Coturnix japonica: one gene and its partners. The main gene of each other region encodes a partner of the protein of the gene in region 2 in a complex. Links are inferred from orthologs where the notes say so. Each region holds a gene or a part of one and is shown on either strand. Other genes may lie near its edges. The genes, in order: AAR2, SNRNP40, CWC22, PPIL2, LSM8 and LSM5.

Evidence for each region.
Region 1: SNRNP40 (region 2) and AAR2 share a complex: the UniProt entries of both Homo sapiens proteins name them as parts of the U5 snRNP complex. The link is inferred for Coturnix japonica from reciprocal best matches to the Homo sapiens genes SNRNP40 and AAR2.
Region 3: SNRNP40 (region 2) and CWC22 share a complex: the UniProt entries of both Homo sapiens proteins name them as parts of the minor spliceosome. The link is inferred for Coturnix japonica from reciprocal best matches to the Homo sapiens genes SNRNP40 and CWC22.
Region 4: SNRNP40 (region 2) and PPIL2 share a complex: the UniProt entries of both Homo sapiens proteins name them as parts of the minor spliceosome. The link is inferred for Coturnix japonica from reciprocal best matches to the Homo sapiens genes SNRNP40 and PPIL2.
Region 5: SNRNP40 (region 2) and LSM8 share a complex: the UniProt entries of both Homo sapiens proteins name them as parts of the U4/U6-U5 tri-snRNP complex. The link is inferred for Coturnix japonica from reciprocal best matches to the Homo sapiens genes SNRNP40 and LSM8.
Region 6: SNRNP40 (region 2) and LSM5 share a complex: the UniProt entries of both Homo sapiens proteins name them as parts of the U4/U6-U5 tri-snRNP complex. The link is inferred for Coturnix japonica from reciprocal best matches to the Homo sapiens genes SNRNP40 and LSM5.

The regions. Positions count from the first base shown.
Region 1 is NC_029535.1:173,929-178,195, reverse strand, and holds the start of AAR2 (protein AAR2 homolog), read right to left. Parts: upstream 2,801-4,267; 5' UTR 2,735-2,800; coding exon 1,984-2,734; intron 1,250-1,983; coding exon 1,020-1,249; intron 1-1,019. UniProt on the Homo sapiens protein: Component of the U5 snRNP complex that is required for spliceosome assembly and for pre-mRNA splicing.
Region 2 is NC_029538.1:602,876-606,375, forward strand, and holds part of SNRNP40 (U5 small nuclear ribonucleoprotein 40 kDa protein), read right to left. Parts: intron 3,475-3,500; coding exon 3,352-3,474; intron 2,383-3,351; coding exon 2,262-2,382; intron 1,536-2,261; coding exon 1,453-1,535; intron 1,034-1,452; coding exon 972-1,033; intron 1-971. UniProt on the Homo sapiens protein: Required for pre-mRNA splicing as component of the activated spliceosome. Component of the U5 small nuclear ribonucleoprotein (snRNP) complex and the U4/U6-U5 tri-snRNP complex, building blocks of the spliceosome.
Region 3 is NC_029522.1:13,114,576-13,117,788, forward strand, and holds the end of CWC22 (pre-mRNA-splicing factor CWC22 homolog), read left to right. Parts: intron 1-847; coding exon 848-1,503; 3' UTR 1,504-2,713; downstream 2,714-3,213. UniProt on the Homo sapiens protein: Required for pre-mRNA splicing as component of the spliceosome. As a component of the minor spliceosome, involved in the splicing of U12-type introns in pre-mRNAs. Promotes exon-junction complex (EJC) assembly.
Region 4 is NC_029530.1:477,567-481,066, forward strand, and holds part of PPIL2 (RING-type E3 ubiquitin-protein ligase PPIL2), read right to left. Parts: intron 3,363-3,500; coding exon 3,311-3,362; intron 2,000-3,310; coding exon 1,908-1,999; intron 1,438-1,907; coding exon 1,348-1,437; intron 1-1,347. UniProt on the Homo sapiens protein: Has a ubiquitin-protein ligase activity acting as an E3 ubiquitin protein ligase or as an ubiquitin-ubiquitin ligase promoting elongation of ubiquitin chains on substrates.
Region 5 is NC_029516.1:21,853,723-21,857,714, forward strand, and holds the start of LSM8 (LSM8 homolog, U6 small nuclear RNA associated), read right to left. Parts: upstream 2,801-3,992; 5' UTR 2,699-2,800; coding exon 2,668-2,698; intron 2,310-2,667; coding exon 2,269-2,309; intron 1,357-2,268; coding exon 1,229-1,356; intron 1-1,228. UniProt on the Homo sapiens protein: Plays a role in pre-mRNA splicing as component of the U4/U6-U5 tri-snRNP complex that is involved in spliceosome assembly, and as component of the precatalytic spliceosome (spliceosome B complex).
Region 6 is NC_029517.1:78,884,366-78,888,507, forward strand, and holds the start of LSM5 (U6 snRNA-associated Sm-like protein LSm5), read left to right. Parts: upstream 1-1,342; 5' UTR 1,343-1,432; coding exon 1,433-1,478; intron 1,479-1,765; coding exon 1,766-1,861; intron 1,862-2,297; coding exon 2,298-2,325; intron 2,326-2,687; coding exon 2,688-2,760; intron 2,761-4,142. Other genes in the region: late secretory pathway protein AVL9 homolog, read right to left, coding at 537-629. UniProt on the Homo sapiens protein: Plays a role in pre-mRNA splicing as component of the U4/U6-U5 tri-snRNP complex that is involved in spliceosome assembly, and as component of the precatalytic spliceosome (spliceosome B complex).

The DNA of each region.
Region 1 (4,267 bases), on a different chromosome or scaffold from region 2:
TACCCTAACTCTAACAACCCTCTGCTAAATCATATCCCTGAGCACCACATCCAAATGGCTCTTAAACACATCCAGGGATGGAGATTCATCCACCTCCCTGGGGAGCCTATTCCAGTATTGCTGATCTATCAGCAGTTGCAGTGACTGGGAGTGACTTACAGGTTTGCCCTTGCCTGTCTCAGCACCAGCAGTGTATTTCTGCTGTTTGGACTGACCATAAATCCCATACAAACAACAACCTGATTTCAGGAAACCTTCACGTTTGCATAAAGCAGGCAGGAGCAGAAAGGCTTCTTATATGTTATCCATACCTTCAGCTCAGTAAGATTTAGCTGCAACTTCCCTGCAGGCTGAGCACACCATCCAAGCTGATCAGAAACCACCACCACTCTTTTACACCAAGCCACGTGTTTTTAAACGAATGGTATTTGGAGGGGAAAAAAACTGATCAACAAACAGACACCACTTTGCACTCGCTCAGCCCCTCTCGGAGATGTTCAGCTTCACACAGCTGAAAGCCCAGATCACTTTTAAAACAAACATGCTGGTTCCACCCAGTCACGTCAGTTGTCCCACTCCAGAACTCCAAACCTGCACCAATGGACCAGATCACGGTCAGTGCTATCTTCAAGGAAAACACAATAGAGAAGACTCAGGCCTCACTCTGTGCTGCAGCTGTCAACAGCCTCTCCCCTCAATACCTCACTTTGCTGGCACGTGCGTGCGGACCAACTCCAGTCCACGGTGCTTTAAATGCTTGATCTGCTGAAGGCAATAAATGCTCGATGTGCATTGGTAGATCAAGCTCATAGATGACAAGAGAGGTCATTTCTGTGTGAGCAACGCCAGGAAAAAGTAAAAGGAAATGTCAGTGTGCCCTCACGGAGGACACAGGCTCCCTATCTCTGGCAGACTCAACAGCAGCTTACTTCCTCTTGAAGCTTCTCTCTGTATCTGTTTCAATGCCCTGCATGCCCTGCATTCTGACTCCCATGGATCAAGAGAACGCACAGCCGTACCTGCAAGGTGCTGGTCAGAAAGTTGTCCTGGGAGACGATGTCCACAAAGAAATCAGACGGGATTTCATTCAACTGGTGGTACAGGACAAAGATGAGATTGGCATAAAGGTCCTGATACTTTGCAATGGCAGCTTCAGAACGGCACAGGATGTTTAACAGTCTTTTCCAGTGCTCAAATGCATCGTATACATTCCCAATCAGGAAGCAGATAAAAGCAAACTGCAACTCAGCTGCAGGTATTCAGAAAACAAAACAAAACAGGTAAACCGAGGTATAACCAAGGCACACATCCTCTAAAAAGCTCTGCAGATGACTGCATAAACTGTAGGTTTAGCTTGGGCATATAAACAACCTTCAGCCCTCTAAGTGACTCTGCAAATGGCGATCAATACTGCCAACACCGATTATTTCCTAATGCTCTGCTCTTCTCCCATCTGGAGAGAAAGCACAGTGTAACCGGGCAGGGCTCCTAATTGTGGCTGCCAGCTCTGCAGGGCGGTGCTGCTGGCACTGAGTGAGGAGCTACAGGAGCACCTGCAACACTCACAGGTGCACAGACCTGCACACAGCCACTGCCGGCGCCCTGCAGGCGTTCACCTCCTCCTGTACCACGGCTTGCAGGCGCTGCCCCCAGACGCAGGGATGAGAACAACGGAGGTTGTGAGCAACGAGTGTTTGTCTCTTTTTCAGAGCCAGGACTCAGCCTCGCCAGGCGCTTCTCACCAGCCAGAACCGGTGGCTCTGAAGATTGTTACCTGCACCCGATGCGATCACCTTCGCCTCCCCTCCAATCGCCCGCAGGAATTCTGATAACGAATGACTCGTGTAACACGACAGACCACGTGAAAAACAAACGCTCACAACTCAGCCCAGCCGGGCTCCCGGCCCCTCCACATTCAGCACCCGCCCCCCGGCACGGCCACGGCCGGAGCTCCGCCCGGGGCTGTCCCCGCCGCGCACTCACCGAGCAGGTCCTGCGGCCGCCCGGCGTAGCGCCGCGCGATGACGTTTTCCAGCGCGTAGCTGAGGTCCATGCAGTGCCTGGTGATCTCCTCCGGGCTGGCTCCCTCGGGGTACGTCCGCCGCGGCAGCTCGGTGAAGCGGATCTCGGTTCCGGCTCTGGGCCGCATCTCGGGCAGCCTGGCCACGCCCTCGGCGTAACTCCCGCACCCCGCGTCGTACGGCGGCAGCTTCTGCCCCGCGCGGTCCCGGCCGAGCCGCCCCTCCCGCACCGGCAGCACCTCGGAGAAGGCGCAGATCCGCCCGCTCTCCGGCCGCAGCCGCTCCACCGCCGCCTCGCCCACGAAGCTGCTGAGGGCGATCCACTTCTTCACGGTGTCGTACGGGTACGGCCCGAGGAACGCGTCCATGTCCCGCAGGTCCCTCCCGAGCGCCTCCTCCTCTCCCGGCGCGTCCCGCAGCTCCTCGCTGCCCGGCTCCCAGCGCAGGGCGCGCACCTGCCGGGGCCGCAGGCAGAGGAACAGCCCGGCCCGCGGTCCCGTCTCAGTGCCGCCGGCGGACCGGGCCGCGCTGCAGTGCACGAAGTGCACCCCGGGCGGAACCATCTTGACGCCGCGGAAGCGGGGCCCCACGGTCCAGCTGCTGTAGTCGATGCCGAACTCGGTGCCCTCGGGGACGCCCAGGACGATCACGGCGGCACCCTCGAAGAAGAGCCGCTTGGCCAGCTCCGGGTCGGCCCGCAGCCCCGCCATCATCGCGGCGGGCGGACAGGGCCGGAAACGCGCGGTCCTTCCTCCGCTCTGCGCCCGGGCCGCCCCATGCGCCGCGCACGAACGTTCCGGGCCGCAACTCGTTCCGCCTCCGCGCGGTCCCGGAGGCCGGGGAGCCCCGCTGCGCTGCGGCCGCTCGACGTGACGCCCCGACAGCCGAACCTCTGCTTCCGTCCGGTCTCCACACAGAAGCGGTCGCCCTCCGCCCCCATTAACCAACGGGTAATCCTTCACGATTAACAGTAACACGAAAGAGTAACCCTCAACCGCAACCCAAAGGGGGACCTTAGCCATGAACCAAAAGTGTAACCTTTAACGATAGCCCATATACTTAGCCTTAACACAAAAGGGTAACTGGTAGCCCAAACTGGTAACCCCAAGCCGTTCACTGTAACCCCAAATGAGTGAGCCTTCATCCTAACACAAAAGGAGAAACCTGAATGCTTAACGCTAACACAAAAGGGTAACCGTATCCATAGCCCAAAATATTAACCCGTACTCCTCAATTCTAACCAAAAAGGGTAACTCAACCCATCTCCCAAAAGGGTAACCCTTAGCCCTTAATACTAACCCTAAGCTGTAGCCCTCAAACATATCCCAAAAGGTAACACTTAATACCCAACCCTAACCAACAATGGTGACCCGCTTAACGCTGACACTAAATGGCAACCTCCAACCCCAAAGGGTGACCCTACAGCCCACGGCAGGACAGCCATGCAGCATCACCACCAACCACCACGTACAATACCTATGGGGGACAGCCCGCTATGCAGCCCCTGCATGGAGCCCCTGTCCCCATCTGCGCATCCTCTTTGGTGGGAAGGAGTCTGAAAAGGCCGCAGAGCTGGTTTAGCCTCAAACACATTTATTTCACTTTTATTGAATACAAGAACAGTGAGCACACACGCGTACACCACCGAGCACTGAAAAGGAGCATGACTGGAGGGGGGAGAAGAAGAATAAGGGAAAAGGGGAGTTAGTGAAGGAACAGCAGAGCACTGCAGTTGGTTGGTAAGGTGCTTTTCAAATATAAACATTATTGTTATTGTTACTGTTACTATCACTCATGCAATTGCAGGCCAGGTTTGGAATAAATCTGTGGGATCGGGTAAAAACAGGCACTCATGTCTCCCGCCCCTTGCAGCAGAAAGGCCCCTGGAAGAAAACACACCATGCTGAGCTGCCCCAGCCTGGCAGGTTGGTTTCATCCTATTTGTTTGTTGGTGCTTTTATTTATTGTCGTTTTCTAATTGAAATGCTGTCGCCCATTAAACAAGCTGTAAAAACCACAGAATGGGGTCCGCTCACTCCAAATATAACTCGTCTGAATCCACGCTCAGGTCAGCTCTAACTGTATAAGGCCACTAGTTTGAGCAGTAACCTTCCTTTTGATAACTGTGCAGGTGATGCCAAAAGCAGGTGCCTTAGCTTCAGAGTAGCAGCGGGTGGCTGTAAGAGTATGAAGGCCATGTGAGCTCCTCTGAGTATAAACCACAGTGTGCCGAGGAACAGTGAGCG
Region 2 (3,500 bases):
CTTCACCGTGTCAGGCTGCCCACACTGGGACCAGCCATGAAGGAACAGGTATTCATCACCTCATGCACTGCTGCTGCAGCCCAGTGGGACTGGAAAGAAGGGTCATGTCTCAGCTGCCAGCTGTGACAGCTGGCCCCACTATATCTGCACAGTATGAGCTAAAGCTCTCCCTGTCGTCTATCAGAAGCTCATTAATTTGCTGATTACTGCTGTTCCATGCCTTGGACTCCGGCCTGCAGGAATTCCTGTCTCCATGTCACTGAGAGTGCACCTGGATCTGCTCCAGCAGGTTGGTATCCTTCGTGGCGACCTTCAGTGTCTGGCAGGGACCCTCTGCTGCCCTCCTCCCTCTGCCCAGTTTACCCTTTGGTTATCCAGTCTACAGAAGCTCTCATTTAAATAAGTCAGATATGTGCTAATTTAGTCAGAACTTAATTTCCTCACACCTGTTAATTAAGTAAGGATCACAAACGATCCTCGAAACGCCACTGGTGCTCCCTGCTAGCTTTGACTGATTCTGGTGGTCATTATCAGCACAAAATGCAGCACTCTGCAGCAATCTGCCAGAATCTTTGCCTTTGGAGAAGTCTCACAAGAATCTGCTGCTATGACTGCAAGAGACCTCGCATGCTGCCAGCTACGCTCCCGTCATCTGCTTGTCCATCTGTTGGATGCAGTGACTGAACACAAGCAGAAATGGAGCTCTCTAGAAGGTTTCTGACAACAGTAATAAGGATTTTACAACCATATAGTGCTCCTCCGCTGATGCAAAGGCAATATGAACACATCTCTGCTACCATTGCTGCAGACAATGCTCACAGATTACCACAGGGGGTTGTTTGGGTCTTCACACCTCCATGCACAACTCTGGCTCTTCATATTCATTTTAGAGACTATCCAGGCTCATTTCAGCAGTGATTGCAAAAATGGTTTGGCATTGACAGTAACAGAGAAACACGGTGATAACTCACCTGTCAGCAGATCCCCCTGCTATCTTACTCCCATCTGGAGACCAGGAGCACCTCAGAAGATTCTAAGACAAAACAAAACAATAGGCACAGTTCCATTTCCGAAGAAGATTTAGCTTTTCCCTTCCAGTTCAAGTAAAATCACTATGAGACTTTAAGTATCAAGAGCACTACTTTAATGATCCCTCTTCAAAAGATTCTCATCAAGTAATTAAAGATTTTGTTTTATTGTTGGAAACATCCAGTGCCTTGTTATTTTATACAACATGTGTAGAAAATACTTCATTTACAGCTAATTATAGCCAAAGTGAACAAAGAAATTTTGTTACTACAGCTTTAATTGGAATCTCACTTTGTGCGTTAATGTTTCTTCGAGTCCTTATTAAAGTCTCACTGGTTAAAACTTTAACTTCCCTGTAAACTGTTCTTTAAGTTCATGTGGCAACGCTGTATAAATGAGTGTTTAGGTCTGTAATACACTCACCTTTTCAAAATTATGCACATTCCCCTGGAAGATCTTCACACATCTCTCTTTTGGGGCAAACGGTCGCACATCCCAGATGCGAACTGCAACAGAGCACACAGTAATTAGCAGGAGATACCAGAACTACAGGGGCAAGGTCAGCTGCTAATGATCAAAGATCTGGTTGCATTCCTTGTTCTTTTCATGCCCGTTTCCTTAGCTAAAGGATACCAACAGCCTCCCGCTGCAGGAAGCTGTGATATGAAAGGTAAAATGCAGTAATTTATAATTACATTAAGACCACTCCCAACAGGAGGGGAAAATTCCAAAACAACTACTACACAAATGAGCTACTGTCTCCTCACATGAGCATTTGCTTTATTCTAATACACTTCATGATCATACTTCTAATCAGATCAGCTTCACTGAGCACCCATACGCAGGAGATGAGCAGTCTGGAAACAGCACTGTCATTCCCTGCTGCAGGGAAGCAGCTGAACCACTCTGACAAAAGCCAGACCAAGATTATGTTCAACTGCCTGTGCAAATAACTTGTGCCACAGCCCATGTCCTCATTGCCCTTTGGGAGACGTGACAAACCTTTCTGATACAGCTGCTCCTTCTCTACAAAGGATGTAACTGTCACGGTTCAAACAAAGAGAACTGAAGGTTTCTCTGCAGACCCTGCCTGCATTCCGCCCACCTGACTCTCCTATTTTAGCACATTGACCAATTTCAGCTGCTCCTTCTGAAATACCACACACAGCTCTTCAAAGGCAGAGGCTGACAGTTGTCTGCACAGCTGTGCTGTCACATTTGGCAGGACATACCTGTGTTATCCATTGCGTTAGAGAGCAGGTAAGAACCTTCTGAACTCAAACTGAGGCCTGTCACTGAGTCTGCATGTCCTCTCATCGTGTACGTGAGCTTGTTCTGGCGAAGGTCCCACACCTTTCAGACAGCAGAGACAAAATTGTGGCTTAGAATGGACAGACAAGACTATTAGCAATGCTCTTTCCAATTTCATGCAAGTACTGATCAGCCATCTGATGAATAACTTTCCACTTGCAGTTGGGTAAGGTCTGAATGGCTAAAATATAAGGCTATAAAGTTATGTGTTGTCCTCTAAAGGGCAAATTTTCCCCCCCATTTCTTACCTAACGTGTCCAACCACATCAGCAGAAAATAGTTAAATTTCAGCAGCTGATGTACGCAGGATTTCCTTTCAATCTGGCCTAGCTCCCTCAGCTCCCAAATTCCACTGACCCATGGCACAGAGGAGCAGTTATCCAGTCTTCAAAATTTCATGCTGTTCTTTCTCTATGAGTTACTGCCATTCAAAGGGCAATTAGAAGTGAAATCATTTCAGTGCTACGCTTAGTGGTGGCCCTCTGACAAGTATGTGCTCCCCATGCCTAGGTAAGACTGGAGACTGAGGCCAAAAAGACAGCAAGGCTGACTGAACTGTGAAGCTATCTGGAGAATCTCAGCTACCAAGTGAATGAACACTGAGCGTGCTCTTAAATAAGAACTTTCCACAGTAGCAGGTGACAAAGTAAGTTATTGAAGCAAGGGTCAGAGAACATGGATGTGTCACCAAATTTTCTTTAGCGTACAACATATATGGCTCTAGAGCCTCTGTGAGGGGCACCAGCTGCCAGAAGAGCTTGCATACCATATCAGTGGCAGTGTGTGACGCTAAGATGCATGGCCAGTCACATGGCAGACAGCCCTGGAACAACTATCTCAGAGTTTTCTGGCCTTAGATCAAGACACTGTGGGTCAGTGCAGTTCTCGTGACAGTAAAATTAACCACATTTGTCCTTGACCAAGGCATTTTGCGTGCTGCTAAAGCAAATTTTGATGGGATGGAAAAGGTGAAGGTGGTTGGAAAGAAGCACAAGGACACAAGCATCATACCTTAATATCGTTGTCAATGCCCCCAGATATGATCTGATCACTGGTGTCATTAAAGGTTACAGCCAAGACTTGGTAAGTATTCTGAAATGTCTGGACAGCAGCTTTTTTCCTGATATCCCACAGCTGAAAAGACATTGTGTTGTAAAACT
Region 3 (3,213 bases), on a different chromosome or scaffold from region 2:
TTGCCTGGTCTTTCTGTAGGAAGTCAATAAAAAGATGATGATGCATACAGGCTTTAAGAATTCGGGCATCACTTCCAGATAGATAAAGGATAAAAGCCTTGCAAGTGTCACAGTTACAAATTAGTAGATGAGGGGGGAAGCTTGATTGTTGGAGTTTTGTCAGTACATAGCATGTAAAATATGAAGGCATTTCCTTCACAGCCTACATGTTATGTCAGATTCTTGTTCAACACGTCACTCTTTGGGTTTGAGTTACTCCATTTATGTGACTGCTTAGTAATACTCTGTTTTCAAGTGCAGGTTTGTTTGTATGTTCTGTAAGTTGAGGAAGAAGTTTGGTTTCTGTTAGAGCTGGAGCAATGTGTCATGTTCTTGATAACTGCGTGGTCATGGTAAATAGGGTGAAATGTGGAAGACTTCCACAACATCATATTTTCTTGTTTTTACTGTTGTGGATGTGGTGTAACCTTGCTTGTTGTTCTCGTGAGGTTCGTGTGTTAGTAACAGTGAAGGTGCTGATAAATGCTGAAGCATAGACTAATAATGTAGCTCTGGGCTTGTTAATCAACTCACACTTCAAGGGAGAATTTCTTTTCACATTAAAATATGAGGCCTGTAATTCAACCAGATAAATGGGTGAATTTTGTCCCATTGCAAAAAATCCTTGGTTGATGGGGGGGGGGATAGAAGCAGAGCTCATATTTTTGTAACTTGCAGCCAAATGTATAACAACGAAAGTTGGAGTGTTTTTCCACTAATGTGTTTCTATATAACCTTTGGTGTAGCTTAATGAATCAAATAGTTGATTAAAATAGAACCTTATTTCCATAATTCGTTGTAATTTCAGATGCTTCCAAAGCCAAAAGAAGAAGAACACAAAAGAAAAATAGAGAATCTGATAAAGCTTCCCGGAAAAAGCAAGAAAAGAAAAAGAAATCACTTGAAAAGAAAATGGGAAGGCGACGGCAAGAGGACAGAAGTGATAGTGAGAGCAAGTCAGAAAGAAATCACCGAAATATGAGAGAGGCATGTAGGAGGGATGATACATCAAAATATCATCACAGGGATGAATCTAATGGCAGAGGTGATTACGAAGTGCATAGGAGAGATGACGTATCAAAATACCACCAGAGGGATGAGTCTAATAGCAGAGACGATTACCATAGTGGAAGGGATAGGAACCACGAGAGAAGTAAGGATCTAGAAAATAAACACAGTAATTCAAAACTGAAGAAAGCAGAAAGAAGAGCTTCTTTTTCTGACGATGAAAGTTATAGACATGGGAACAGAGATAATGGACATCGGAGTAGAAAAAGGGAAAGATCTAAGTCTGGAGAGAGATCCTATAACAAGTCAAGTCCAAGGGAGGAGGAAGAAGACCACCGATACAGAAATGGCTCAGAGAGACTCAGAGAGAAGTCCAACCATTACTCTGACCAGTACAGAGAATCAAGAAAATATGAGGATAGACGAAGGGAGAATTCCCCACACAGACGAAAATAAGACCTAAGCAGTTTGAAATAAATGTGTATTTCTGAGCTGTTAAAACTGTATTTTAAAAAATATGACTAAACTTTCTTTAAAAAAGATTTTGTACAAAGTGGTAGTTTGCATTTGTAAATTTTATCAGACTTTTTCAAATTTTCAGTACTGCTTTTTTATAACTGTTACTTTGAGTCTTTCTGTTGAATTCATCCTCTGGGAAGATGAAGTTGTTTATTTTGTGAATAAAACAGTTAAGATCTCAGCAAAATGGGTGTTCTTGTCACTTAATTTCAAGTATTTGTAACTTTCTAGTACAAAAACATTGCGTTTTAACTTTGGTTAATTGAAGATCAGAGATGCTGAATCTAACGTAATGAATCTAAGAATCTCAGATGACGGTATCGATGATGCATGGGAAGGCTTTTTAAAAGGAATTGAGCATGAGCACTGTGCATTCTACAGTTATATTCTTTCATCTTCATAAACGTGGAAGTAAGTTGGACCAAAATTTTTCAGGAAAACCTTCGTTTATTTTTTTCAAGAGTTAAAAATCAGAACAGCAGTTTTGTTATTTTAAATGTCACATTTTGAAACTGTGTCAACTTGTTCTGTGTTACTTTTCACAGTGTTTTTTAATGTTGTAACATCCTAAGCCAGTGATGCTTGTGATCTTGGAGGAAAAAATGTTTTCAACTGTGAATCTGATTTGAAGTAATTTGTAAACTTCAGGTGTATTTCTGTGGGAAATGTTTAAGGAATGTCCTTCCTGGTATATTTTAAAAACAGTGAAACAAAAGATATTAAATCTTTTTATATGCTTTGAACTGCATGGCTTAAAGTGCTCAAATTTACTGGAAGCAAAGTTTTACTAAAAAAACAACACCTGAGCAGTTTATAGTATGGAAGTTGTTCTGTGTAGAATCATTTGAAGAACTAGTGCAACATTCATTGTTTGACTTACAAATCTGAATTGTGGTTAAGATTTAATGTCATCACTAACAAAGGCAAATTCAGAAAGTCTTTTGGCATGATCAGCGTGGCCATGGTCAGTAGAAAAGGCAGGAATGACAGTTATGTATAACCCAACTGTTAGTGCCATAAAACCTTTTTTTTTCCCTTTGCAAAATGAACATAATTGTTGGGCACATGAAAATATACAGATTTCATGTGTACGTTGTATTTCACTGTATGCAGAAGGCTATAAAAATACACTTGAGCTGTTCTATAACAGCAAATAGAGCAATTCCTAAGGAAATAGATTAGGTTGGGGTAAGTTGTCACAACATCTTTTTCTAAGAAAAATGATGCTTTGGATTTCTGTTCTGTGTTTAACAGAATTTGTTTCTGCCAGTTTTCATGCACTGAAATGTTTTCAAAGATACTAGCAGAGAAAATAAAGAGACACTGCAGAGAAAAATGAACGTTTCTGTTGTGTTGCACCACACAGCCATAAATGCTCTAGTGGTATCATGAGGAATGTCTTATTTAAATTCTGGTTTTGTTTCTATTCCCAGTGCAGTTCTCATTTTTCCAGGCTAACTGTGTGTTTTTGGTAGTGTACTTTGATTCCTAGAAAAGTTAATTTGAAGTAATTCTTTTTAGAAAGATTTGTGCTAGAGATTATTGTTTGTTTCTTAGCAATCTACTAAGGGTATTAAAAATTACCTGTGTTTCATAATTGTTGTGTTGTATGAGCTTAGCTAATTTAATGAGAGTAACCCTTCCCTT
Region 4 (3,500 bases), on a different chromosome or scaffold from region 2:
GGCCCAATCTGTGACCATACATGACTCAGATCTCCCATCCATCATCTGCTGCACTGCCCAGCACAGGTACCTCACCTGCTTCCTGCAGCACTCACAGTCAGACTCTGGAAACATCATTTTCTATTGATAAACAAAGCTATTACAGACAGTCCCATTCAGCTGTTGTTTGCAAAGCAAAGGACGTTTTTATAGCAACTTTCTTTATATTTATCTTTCGGACAGACAGCTGGGTCAGCATTTCCCATTCACTCCCAATCCCAGCGCCCTCAGACACCACAGCACTCAGCGAACAGGAGGCAATGGGAAAACCAAAAAACAATAAACGCCAAAGAATCGAAAGGTTGTTTTTTGTAAGAGAAGGAGGATTTGGGACAGAGCTCTGGAGCTACAAACTGAAACACAACAGATTGCAGTCACCAAGTCTGGCCAAGAACCAAAGCCACAGGTGGCAGAGCTTGGCAGGGCGAAGCCAACACACTGCACACAATGCTGACAGCGAGAGGATTGAGGAAGGAGATGCTGGTTTGTCTCCTGACAATTTACATGAAGAAAATCACAGCAAGTTCTTACACCAAATACACAGAGATACTTTAACACCCAGGAGCCAAACCATTTCAGGTCGTGTTCTGCGCATTGGATTTGGGTGGCATTTGAGTAGAACAAGAAAAATTGAGGTATGGCTGCAGGTTGGCAGCAGGCGTCATACAGTTCAATGGAAAATGGTCAGAATCTCTTCCAGTCCAACCCCAAAAATAAGGACAGATTTGCTTTTTCTGATCTTATTTGAGAAGAGCATGTATACATTCAATCCTGAACCTCGCAAACGTATCAAAGTATCTTTAGATGAGTGAATATTTCCATTATCTGCTCACAGTCCTTCAGCTCTCTATCCTGACACAAAGGAATATTTTTTATTCACTCATGTGAATTAAAACTTGTGATTACACACATCTTGTATTCAGGGAAACAGCGAGCAAACAACTGCAAAAGCATCTGCCCAAATTCACCTTTTCACATTACATCCCATCCCTGACATTTGTTGTGCACCATCCCCTTTTTTTTAATTTCTAAAGTTCAGCATTCTACTTATCTACAAGGCACACAGAAGTCAGTGTAGAGGTGCATCAGCCTTTATGTTATACAATATCTTTGTGGCTCGTCTGGGTAATAAAGACAACAGAGCAGTTCCCCTTCTGCCCTCCTCTGCAGGAACAAATCCAGAGTAATGCCTCTCTACTCACTCAGTGATAGAGCACAAATACAGGATATCCATAACGTTCCACCTTCTGAGAAAAGAACAGCAACACCACCTGGATTATTAGACACGTAATGGAGAGAGCAGCTTACCTGCAGTGTCACAATGTCTTGCCGGGTGAAGGGCTCATCTGTCAAGAGATCCTTGTAGCACTTTGGCCTTATGTTCAGCTGCTCAACTGCCTGACAGCCCGGTGAAAGATACAGGTATGAACAAATGAATTCTAATACATACACACTGCAAGTAAATACACGATGCCACTCACAAAGCGCTACGATAAAATAATTGTGCACTTCTTTCTTAACTGGCAGCTGCAATGTTTTCATTGCATGCTTGAAGATGAAAAGCCATTCAATCCCTACAAAAGTCATCGGGTTTTCCTTGTGTTTTTAAAAACAATTTTAACCAAATTCACCACAGAAGTACTGCCAAAATAAACCCCAAATCCTTGAATTTTCTAGGATAAGTATTTCACAGACGGTAGGAGACAGGTGGCTTTAACAAAGGGCTGACATCGACCACAAGTCAGCCAGCAGTTTGTGAGGCCAGTCCATCTCCCTGCTCTTCCTTTCCTTGGCTGTAAGACACAACAAAGCCTACCTACCATTCTAAAGTGTAAATGACTCATATCAAAACGTGACAGACAACATACCTCATAGGCAAACACATTTCCCGTTGTCTTGATGGCCACAATATGGGAGTTATTGGTGAATACAGTAAACAGCACGGGGCAGTGGTATTTACCTGAGGGACAGGAAAAAAGGGTGGATTTAGCATGGAGCCATCACAACTAATTCAAAATAGCTGATTTCTGTTCTTTCTGCAAAGGACATTCACATTTCTTTCTAACACTGAATGTAAATTCAGAGTGTAGGTAATGGTGCTTCAACTGTGCTTTGATTCTTCAGAGCCAAAGAGGAAACAAAACTGAAAAGTGACACTTCAGAGAATTATAAACCAAGCAATGAAAGAGCAGCTTTGAAACGTGCTGCCCTCAGTCTCCCAGCACAGCTTTGTCCAACACACACGGTATCAATGAAGTATCACATTAGAACCATTATTGCTGTAATTAAAGCTCTGCTGAGAGCATGGGCCTGTACCTTAACACACCCAGAACTCTACTTTTGGTGTTGTTCCCAGAAGTGAAGTTTAGCTCACACCCAATGAAAGCTCATAGCAACTGCTGTGCTTTCAGAGAGGAGTGTTTTGCATTTGAATGTGGCAAGCAGAATGCCATTAAATCTGAGCACGTTATTCGATAAGGAACGCAGCTTCTGCTCGCACCAAGCTGTGAATTTTCCCCAGGAGGGTCAACATAAATATTAAGCATGTCAATAACAAGCACACTGATGGGAGCCAGTGTAGGAGGAAAAAGAAAAACGATGGGACGAGCTCCGCAGAAGCAATTAAAGGATGTTGTCAATACTTGATCATTTTGCTAGACCTGAGTGTTTGGGTGAGATTCTGAAATAGGTTGGGCCCGTTTTGTTCTTTTTGTCCTAATTACCATCTGAAAATCAAACCAGCAGGGAGGCCAGAACAGAGATTGCTCACAGCACCTGCAGGGACAGGAAGGGAAGCACCTGCAGAGTATTCACCGATCAAGGGACTGTCCAGAGGAGGCACTGATCTCCAACGTGGAGAAGCAAGCAGCAGCTGAGCACTATTTCTGCTGATGTCACTAAGTTGAACATGAATGACACACTAAGGAGAAAGTTTAAACAGGGCCATCTAGGAGAGGCAGCGGGGTACGGCCCAGTTGACGGGTGCACAAAGACACCAATGAATGCAAGGCCTTGCTCCAGCTACATGCAAAAAGAACAAACCACCACGATGCCACTCCTAGCAAAAGCACAGAGCCTGAGGTGATGCTGAGCTCCACCAAAAAGGGATCATGAAGTGGAAGGGACTGCTATACCTGATAACATTTTGCTGGACAAGCATGAGCAGAGAGGATTCTATGACACTTCACTGGGAGTCAGGCAAACCGGGATTTATTGCAGCATTCATTAAGAAAGAAACAAGCCAACAAGAACAGAAAGTTAACATACTTACCTTCACTGTTCTTAGCAAAATTCAGCTTTATAAGGGACTTGGCATCTAGTTTCTAAAGAAAATGAAGCATGAGGAAAATTAATGACAACAGAATCTAAACACGGAAATAACAGAAACGGCAATGTCAGTATTTTAATAGTGCATCGTGTATTAATGCTATGTTGCAAGCTGTCTGCATCAAAAAAAAGCC
Region 5 (3,992 bases), on a different chromosome or scaffold from region 2:
TTTTCATAGAATCAAAGAACAGCTTGAGCTGGAAGGGACCCCCATGGACCAACAAGTTCCTTGTTGATCCATGGGCAGGACCACCAACCTTCAGATCTGGTATTAGACCAGGCTGCCCAGGGGCACATCCAACCTGGCCTTGAAAACCTCCAGGGATGGGGCATCCACAGCCTTTCTGGCCTGTTCCAGTGCCTCACCACTCTCTTGGTAAAGAGCTTCACCTGACATCCAATCTAAACCTTCCCCCTCTGAGCTTTTTTTATTATAAGGGTAAAGTCAAAAGTGACTTCCCATGAATATCCCTTGGAACTGGAAATAAAAATTCTTACCTGTGCTGGCAAGAACAGAATATACATATATAAATGCATATATAAATCATAATAATATATAAAAATAATACATATATATTTTTTCCTGGTATATATGTGTGTGTGTGTGTGTGTGTGTGTGTGTGTATACACATATATATGTTTTCAGAATGCTGCTGCAAAATTCATCTTCCTGGCAGGCCCATTTACTGGAGGTTCTTTCCACCGCTCTCACAGCCTCCCCATATCATCAGCTCTGCATTTAATGAGCTTTTCTGCTCATTGCATCATGGCATTTGACATCAAATGTCAATTTACCCCCTCAATCTGCTGCTACATCAGTTTTAACTATCAGTTGCTATACTGTCAAGCCTAAAACTCAGAGCATTTTTTTTTTAAATATGAAGCATTCCCTTTTCCTCTAATGCTTATCTTAATTCTCCCTTAATGTCCCTAAATAAATCCTATTAAAAGTTAACTTTGTGTACCGGATTGCTAATTTGTTGCACATTATCTCTGTCTTATTATATGTACATTCTTTTCTCTCTTCATCTGTTAACAGATTCTGCCATACACAGACTGGAATAAAGTACATCTACACAATGCCTAGACTTAAAGAAGAAAAATGCTGCGTTTCATACTGACCTTTCTTCACATTGTTATCATTGTGTGACCTGGTTAATTTACAACTCAGGTATTCTAGACCAACAATATCATAACAATACAATGCAATCACTTTTGCAAGAGAAGCATAGTTACTTGATACTTCATATGTCTCACCTTTAATAGCTCTAGCAGAGCTATCCATAGATAGGAAGATATAAGATGCATGACTGCACATGCATATAAATATATATATATATTATATATGCACACAGTGAAATTTTTTATTGGTTTAAACAAAAACATGCTCTACTTACACATTATCACCCCTTACGATGTACAATCCCAGCACTACTTGCTCAACTCCTTGTGAAGAACTGAACACTCGTTCATGGCTTTCATCCAAAATCAAGTTAATGGTCTGATCAAAACCTTTGAGGGTTCCCTGAGGGGAAAAAGATAAGCACACAATAATAAAGTTTGTTAATTGCCTTTTAAATTTATATCTTCACTCTCACCAATACCTTAAACAGCAAAGTGGCAATATTAAGATACTAGAGAACAGATGCTCTTTTTAGGTTCTAATGTCAGTCTTAAACACAAACAGCTGGAGAAGAAAACTTTGAAAATGGTAATCAATTCAAGCAAAAAGTATACAGTGCTCATACTAAAAGCTACACTATTTGGTACAAGAGATGAAGTTTTATTTCCTTCCTCTAGACAGCTGACTGTACAACTTTTAGTCTTCCTTGTATGGAAATTTCATAGTCATAGAATGGCCTGGGTTGGAAAGGACCGCAATGATCACCCAGTTTCAACTCCCCTGCTACGTGCAGGGTTGCCAACCTCTAGACCAGGTTACCCAAAGCCACATCCAACCTGGCCTTGAATGTCTCCAGGAATGGGGCATCCACAACCCCAAAACCTCCAGAGATTCAACATTAAAAATAAGGTCAATGAACAGAACAGTTAGATTCTGGGCATGGCTAGGCTGGAGTTAACCTTCCTCACAGCAGGAGGTTAACCTTCCACACAGGGCTGTGCTCTGCACCTGGCACTGTGACAGTGCCAATAGCACCTCAGTGCTCTGGCTGTGGCTGAGCAGCACCAACATCACACCAAGGCAGCATCCAAGCCACCTAACGCCAGCAGACTGGGGGCAGCAAGGCACAAGAGGGAACACAGCATTGAACCAAACTGAACACAGTGTATCCCACACCACATGACGTTATGCTCAGCCATAAAAGCTGGGGAAATGGCAAGAGAAGGAAGGACTTTGTTGTGAAATTGTCTGTTCTCCCAAGAAACTGCAAAGTGTCCTGAGACCCTGCTTTGCCCCCCAAAATAAATGTCTCACCACAATCATTCTTCCATCAGAAGTTATTACTGCGACAGTACCTGACAAGAGTTCATTAAGGAAGCAATAAGAGATATCTGAAATAGAATCATTAACATTCTCTGTAACATGCACGTGTAATAAGCTCAAGAGTCAGAATTAATTACAGAATCACAGAATGACCCGGGTTGGAAGGGACCTCAAGGATCATGTAGTTCCAACCCCCCTGCCTGGCAGGGCCACCAAACATACACCTTTACTAGATCAGGTTGCCCAGGGCCCCGTCCAACCTGGTCTCGAACACCTCCAAGGACGGGGCATCCACAACCTCCCTGGGCAGCCTGTTCCAGGGCCTCACCACTCGCACCCAGCCCGCCCTCTCTCTGCCACCCGCAGCCCATCCACTCGGCAGCAGGATACGGTTGATGTAGTTCTCCAGGGCCGACGTCATGGCGGCGGCTCCCGCGCTTCTCCTCACAGCGGTAACGCCGTTCCCGGCCCCGCTTCCGTCGCGCTCCGATGACGCTCGTCCGTCTGAGCAGCCACACCACCCCAGCACGAGGGCGGGACTGGGCTTCAAAGGGAGGAGGGGTGAGCAGGATGTACCAAGTGCGGTGAAACTGTGGTTTAAGTGCTTGTCCAGCAGAGGGAAGTCGTGGCCTCTGGTTGTATTACGAGTTCTCATAGAACAGAAACCCAGATGCTGTGAATAAGCAGCCTTGAGCATCTGTTTTCTCTCACTGGTTCCGATCCTTTGAGTCCTGATTTTAGGTGTAGGAATTCGGTACCTGTGTCTTAGCGTGTCACTAAAGGGCTGATGATAGCAGGACACGGGGAAATGGTTTTAAGTTGAAAGAGGGAAGATTTAGGTTGGATGTTAGGGGGAAGTTCTTCACTAGGAGAGTGGTTAGGCCCTTGAACAGGCTGCCCAGGGAGGTTGTGGATGCCCCGTCCTTGGAGGTGTTCAAGACCAGGTTGGACGGGGCCCTGGGCAACCTGATCTAGTAAAGGTGTATGTTTGGTGGCCCTGCCAGGCAGGGGGGTTTGAACTACATGATCCTTGAGGTCCCTTCCAACCCGGGTCATTCTGTGATTCTGTGATTATGCTCTCATGTAGTTGAAGAAACAAGGCATCTTTGTAACAAGGCTTGTCCTTGTCTAGCTTATCACTTGGTAATAACATTTACTCCTGTAATTAAACCTTTTTCTGCAATTGAGTCTATATACTTTAAGGTTTCTGTAGTGATTACTGTATTTTATGCTTTCCACAGAAAATATATCTAACTAATTGTGCCCTGGGGTGTCTCTGCTTATTTTCCTGCTTCCTCATATTCTGCCAGGGCAGGAAGGAAAGCCTGCAGTGATACTTGTAGGGTGTATTTGCAAGCAGTTACTGTCTGTAAACTTGCTATCTAGCCTCGAGCTTGCAGAACAGATGAGTGGATGATCTGTTGCTGCTGTGTATTGTTTATCTCTTTTACATTTCCTCAAACACAACAGCTTCTGGTGGCTTTGCTCTCCTTAGTTATCAAGAAATAGGTATGTTTTATAGACCTAGCCATGCTAAAGGCTGAAATGGCTTTGTGGAGTCGTCGGGGGGTGAAAGGCCCGCCCAGTACCACTCTACCGAGCTCAAACCTTGTCAGATCTGGTGGAGAAAGGTACAACACCTACTCTTCCTTGAAAGCTGAACCTCTAATGTAATGCTCAGACTGTGAGGAGATTGAAGAAATTCCTTGTAAAAA
Region 6 (4,142 bases), on a different chromosome or scaffold from region 2:
AAACTATTTGCTTTCCTGACCACAGCACGGCCTTCCAAAGTAGAAAACACAGTTTCCTCAGGTTTCTAGATACTGCCCAGTCACAGAACGTGGAATGACTGCAGGAGTTTAAATGCCAGATGTAATTCTTGATGTAAGACTTGAAGAAAAGAGTTTGAATACCAGTCGTTTGATTGGATCAAATGGCATTTTATATACTCAGTCTCAAATAAATAAATAAATAAATCATTCCTGCAACAGCCTCGCCAAGATTTAGTTAGAGAGCAAAGGAGGAAACGCAACGAGAGCACAGAATACCTACGAAACACAGCGGGCCTTGAAGACACACTGAGCGCCGGTAACGCACAGCTGTTGGGTGGCCCCGTCCCCTCCAGACAGCCCCGCGGAACCGCTCCAGCCCGACCCCGGGCCCCCCACAGCCCGCACCGGCGGGGGATCGCAGCAAGGGGCTCGTAACCGGCCCCCAGCCCGCTGCAGGCAGCGCCCAGCCCAGAACCAGAGGCACGCTCCCGGGGCCCAGCGCTCACACCCCTCACCTGACAGCCCTTCTTATGGTGGAAGCCCACTACCACGATATGCAACACCGGGCCCCGCGGAGGGGCGGCCGGCGGCGCGCCCCGCTTCTCCATGGAGCCCGGCGATGGCCGCTCCGGAGGATACCGCCCAGGCCGGGCTGTCGCTCCGCCTCCTGGTGCCGAAGGCCGAAGGGACGGACCCCAACCGACTGCGCTTCCGCAGAGCCCGGCGAGGGGAGGCGGAGCGGGGCCGCCCTCTTCCCCTTCGCCCTGCCCCCAGCCGCGCTGTGTCCCGGCCCGCCCCGCCCTCCACTCTGTGCTCTGTGCGGTGGGCGCCGAGCGGGAGCGTGCGATGAAACTGATATAGGAAAGTGCTTGGTTTTATTAAAATTAGATACATTAGGGGGCAAAAGATAGGCTATAAGGAACAATCCAGAACTAGCAAGCGAATGATAAGAAGGAAGGGTAGAGCTGCAATCAAGCAGAAGCTCTTAGAAATAAAAGAATCCTGCTGGAATTTTCTTTCTCAGTGTATATCTAATAGATACCAATAAAAACTCAGCCATATATACCAGAGCTGCTCTCAAACTAACGCCTCCTGTTTTATTATGCTGGCCCATGACATCAGAGGTGGATGTTGGTATGGCAGTAGGGGCTACACCTTCCTGCCGTTATATTCCATTATACTTTGTTGCCTTGTGACCGATGGCAGCAGAAGGGCAGTCAGACAGGCTGCCACCTGACATGGCAGTGTGTATAAACAGGAGCGGAACTGAATTCCCATTGCGGTCGGAGCCCAAAGGAGAACACGGCGGTAGAACGAGCGCTCTGCCTGCCGCTACTCAGGGCTGCGTCCCGCCCGCCACAGCCTCTACTTCCTCAGGAGGCGGCAGCCATTGGCCAGCTCTGGCGGCAATATGGCGGCCAACGCGAGCACCAACCCCTCGCAGCTCCTGCCGCTCGGTGGGCAGCGCTGCCGGCGGGTTCTCGCGTGGGCTCGGGCGGGGAGGGAGGGAGGCTGTGACCGGGGTGGGAGAGGCTGCAACAGGGGCTAAATCGGGATCTATGAGCGAGAAACTAAATCGGGATGTAACAAAATTAATTCACCCCTCTTCGTGTTGAGGGAATACGTGCTCCGGGTGTAGCGTTGCTGTTGTTTCCAGTCGGTCGGAGATGATGGAGGGTACCTCTGGGCTGATTGATTTCCTGCAAATACACTAATGCACTTTTGTTGTTTTTAACATCTACAGAGCTTGTGGACAAATGTATAGGTTCTCGCATTCATATCGTGATGAAGAGCGATAAGGAAATTGTTGGAACTCTGCTAGGATTTGATGACTTTGTCAGTATCCTTTGGTGGGTGTTATCTGTGGCCATTAGCTTCATGGGGAAAATCATTTCGTTTATTGTTAAGAACATTAAGCTGTTTGGTATCGGTTTTTTGCTCGTTAGTGGTTTTTGTTTGTTTTTTTATCGCTAAAATCACAGTTTGGTGTAAAATAAATTGCCCATCTCTATACTGCCCTTGTGAGGCCCCCAGCACAGGAAGGATGCAGAGCTGTTGGAGCAGCTGCAGAGGTGGGCTGTGAAGATGATCAAATGCTTCTGTTGCTGGAGGTGTACAAGGCCAGGCTGAATGGGCCCCATGGCAATCTGATCTAGTGGGTGCAGCCTACCAGCAGCAGGGGTTGCTCTGTATTTGGAACTGGGTGGGCTTTACAGTCCCTTCAAGTTCTATGAAAAGAAATCTGGGCCTTATTTTCCTTGAAACTGAGCTTTCAGATATGGTGTTAGAAGATGTTACAGAATTGTAAGTATTATTTTTGTCTCTCATTGCTATTCAGACTTGGGTTTCCTGAGAAAGAATGCGGTATAAGGTCTGTGCTATCACAGATACTTATAAACTGAGCAGTTTTGAATTGTTATTGAAAAAAATGCCAAGTTTTAGAGGGCAAATCTGTGTCTTTATATGCTGAACAAAAAAATACAGCAAATCTGTTTAGTTGCCAGGTAGCTTTCCCTGCCTAGTGGGTCAGTGCATCAAGATGATGTTGCAGTGTTATTTCCAGTAAATGTCATCTTAATATGTGGACTTGCATTGGTGCTGTAATCAGAACTTTATTCATTGTTGATGATTGCATGCTCATATTTTTTTTTCTAATATTGCTTCAGTGAGATCACACCTGAAGGCAGAAGAATCACAAAACTAGACCAGATTTTGCTAAATGGAAATAATATAACAATGGTAAGTCATCACTGTAAATAGTCTGCTTGTGTTTCTTTACCTGTAAATCTGATTGAATTCAACTACTTGAGTAGTTTCTAAGGCATATGGTTTATGAATGATGCTGGGAAAGTGATCTTATTGCTATATTTCATATATTTTATGGTTTAAAATGCATGAAAAGAGGAGCATGGGCATGACTATAGTTTTGGTATATGCTTTTTTGGTTTTCATAAGGTGTGTGAGGGAATCTTTGGACGAGTTTGGTTGACAAAGTGGCTTTTGACTCATGAGTGTCTGTGTAAGTCTGTGGGTTGGGATACATCTGCAGTTCATCCATTATGTATAGGTGTGTTTGCAGCAGCTCAGATACTTATAAGCTTGTTAAGTTACTTGACTATTATTAATCATTATCATGTGATGCCGGATGCTCTGGAAAAAAATAATAAGGTGGAGTTTTGTTGGACTATAACAAATCAGAAGCACTTTCTGGTTGTTACTCGCTGATGTGTATAGATCAGTACTGAAACAATACTGTAGTTAGTTGAGCATCACTAAGTGAATTCTGCATCTTTGTAGATACTTTACCACAAAAGCAGACTCACAGTACATCATTTGCTTTCCTGCACAGATGGGTGCAAAATCTGGACTTCCTGCATAAGGCAGTTCATGATTTTGTTAACAAGACAAGTGGAAGGCTGACTTGAGTCTATCTGTTCTGTGTGAATGGGGAATAATCCCCATATTGCTATCTCACCCTTCTGAGTAAAAGCTATTTTGACTTAATTTCAAAACCTTTTCTTGCTTCGGTTATTGTTCTGCATCTTTAATGCATTGTGCATGTTCTGACTTCTTGTGTGGGTAAAATAATTATTTTATATTATTATTATTTATATTATTTTAACAAAGGAGTTCCTAAAGAACATACATTTTTTTGTCCTTGTTACTCATTCCAAGGTGAATCTTGAAATTCTACAGTTTGTTTTTAAGAGCATTTCAAGAAGCATTTCTTCAACTGATTCTTCTCCAGACCATTGTTATGCTGAGAAGCTTTTTTGCTCTTCCTGACTTTTAGTGATAAGCAAAGCCGCTATATGTATACATGTAAGACCAAACCTTTCTATAGACAGTAGGAAACAAGCCAGCAAAGTATTTTCCTGTGAATAAAAGACTTAAGAGTAAATATAAAAGGAAATATTAAAAAGGTAAACAAAGGTAAAGGGGAAAAAAGATAAAAATCATTTATATTTTCTTAATAATGAACAGCACACTTCCAAAAGAGAAAGACCCAGGGTGCTTTTGAGTCAGATTCAGTAATTTTATGGCACAGTTGTAACATGTGCCCTTAAAAAAGGCGCAGGATCTCCAGTCAGAAGCATGGCTGGGTTTTGCTAAATATGCGT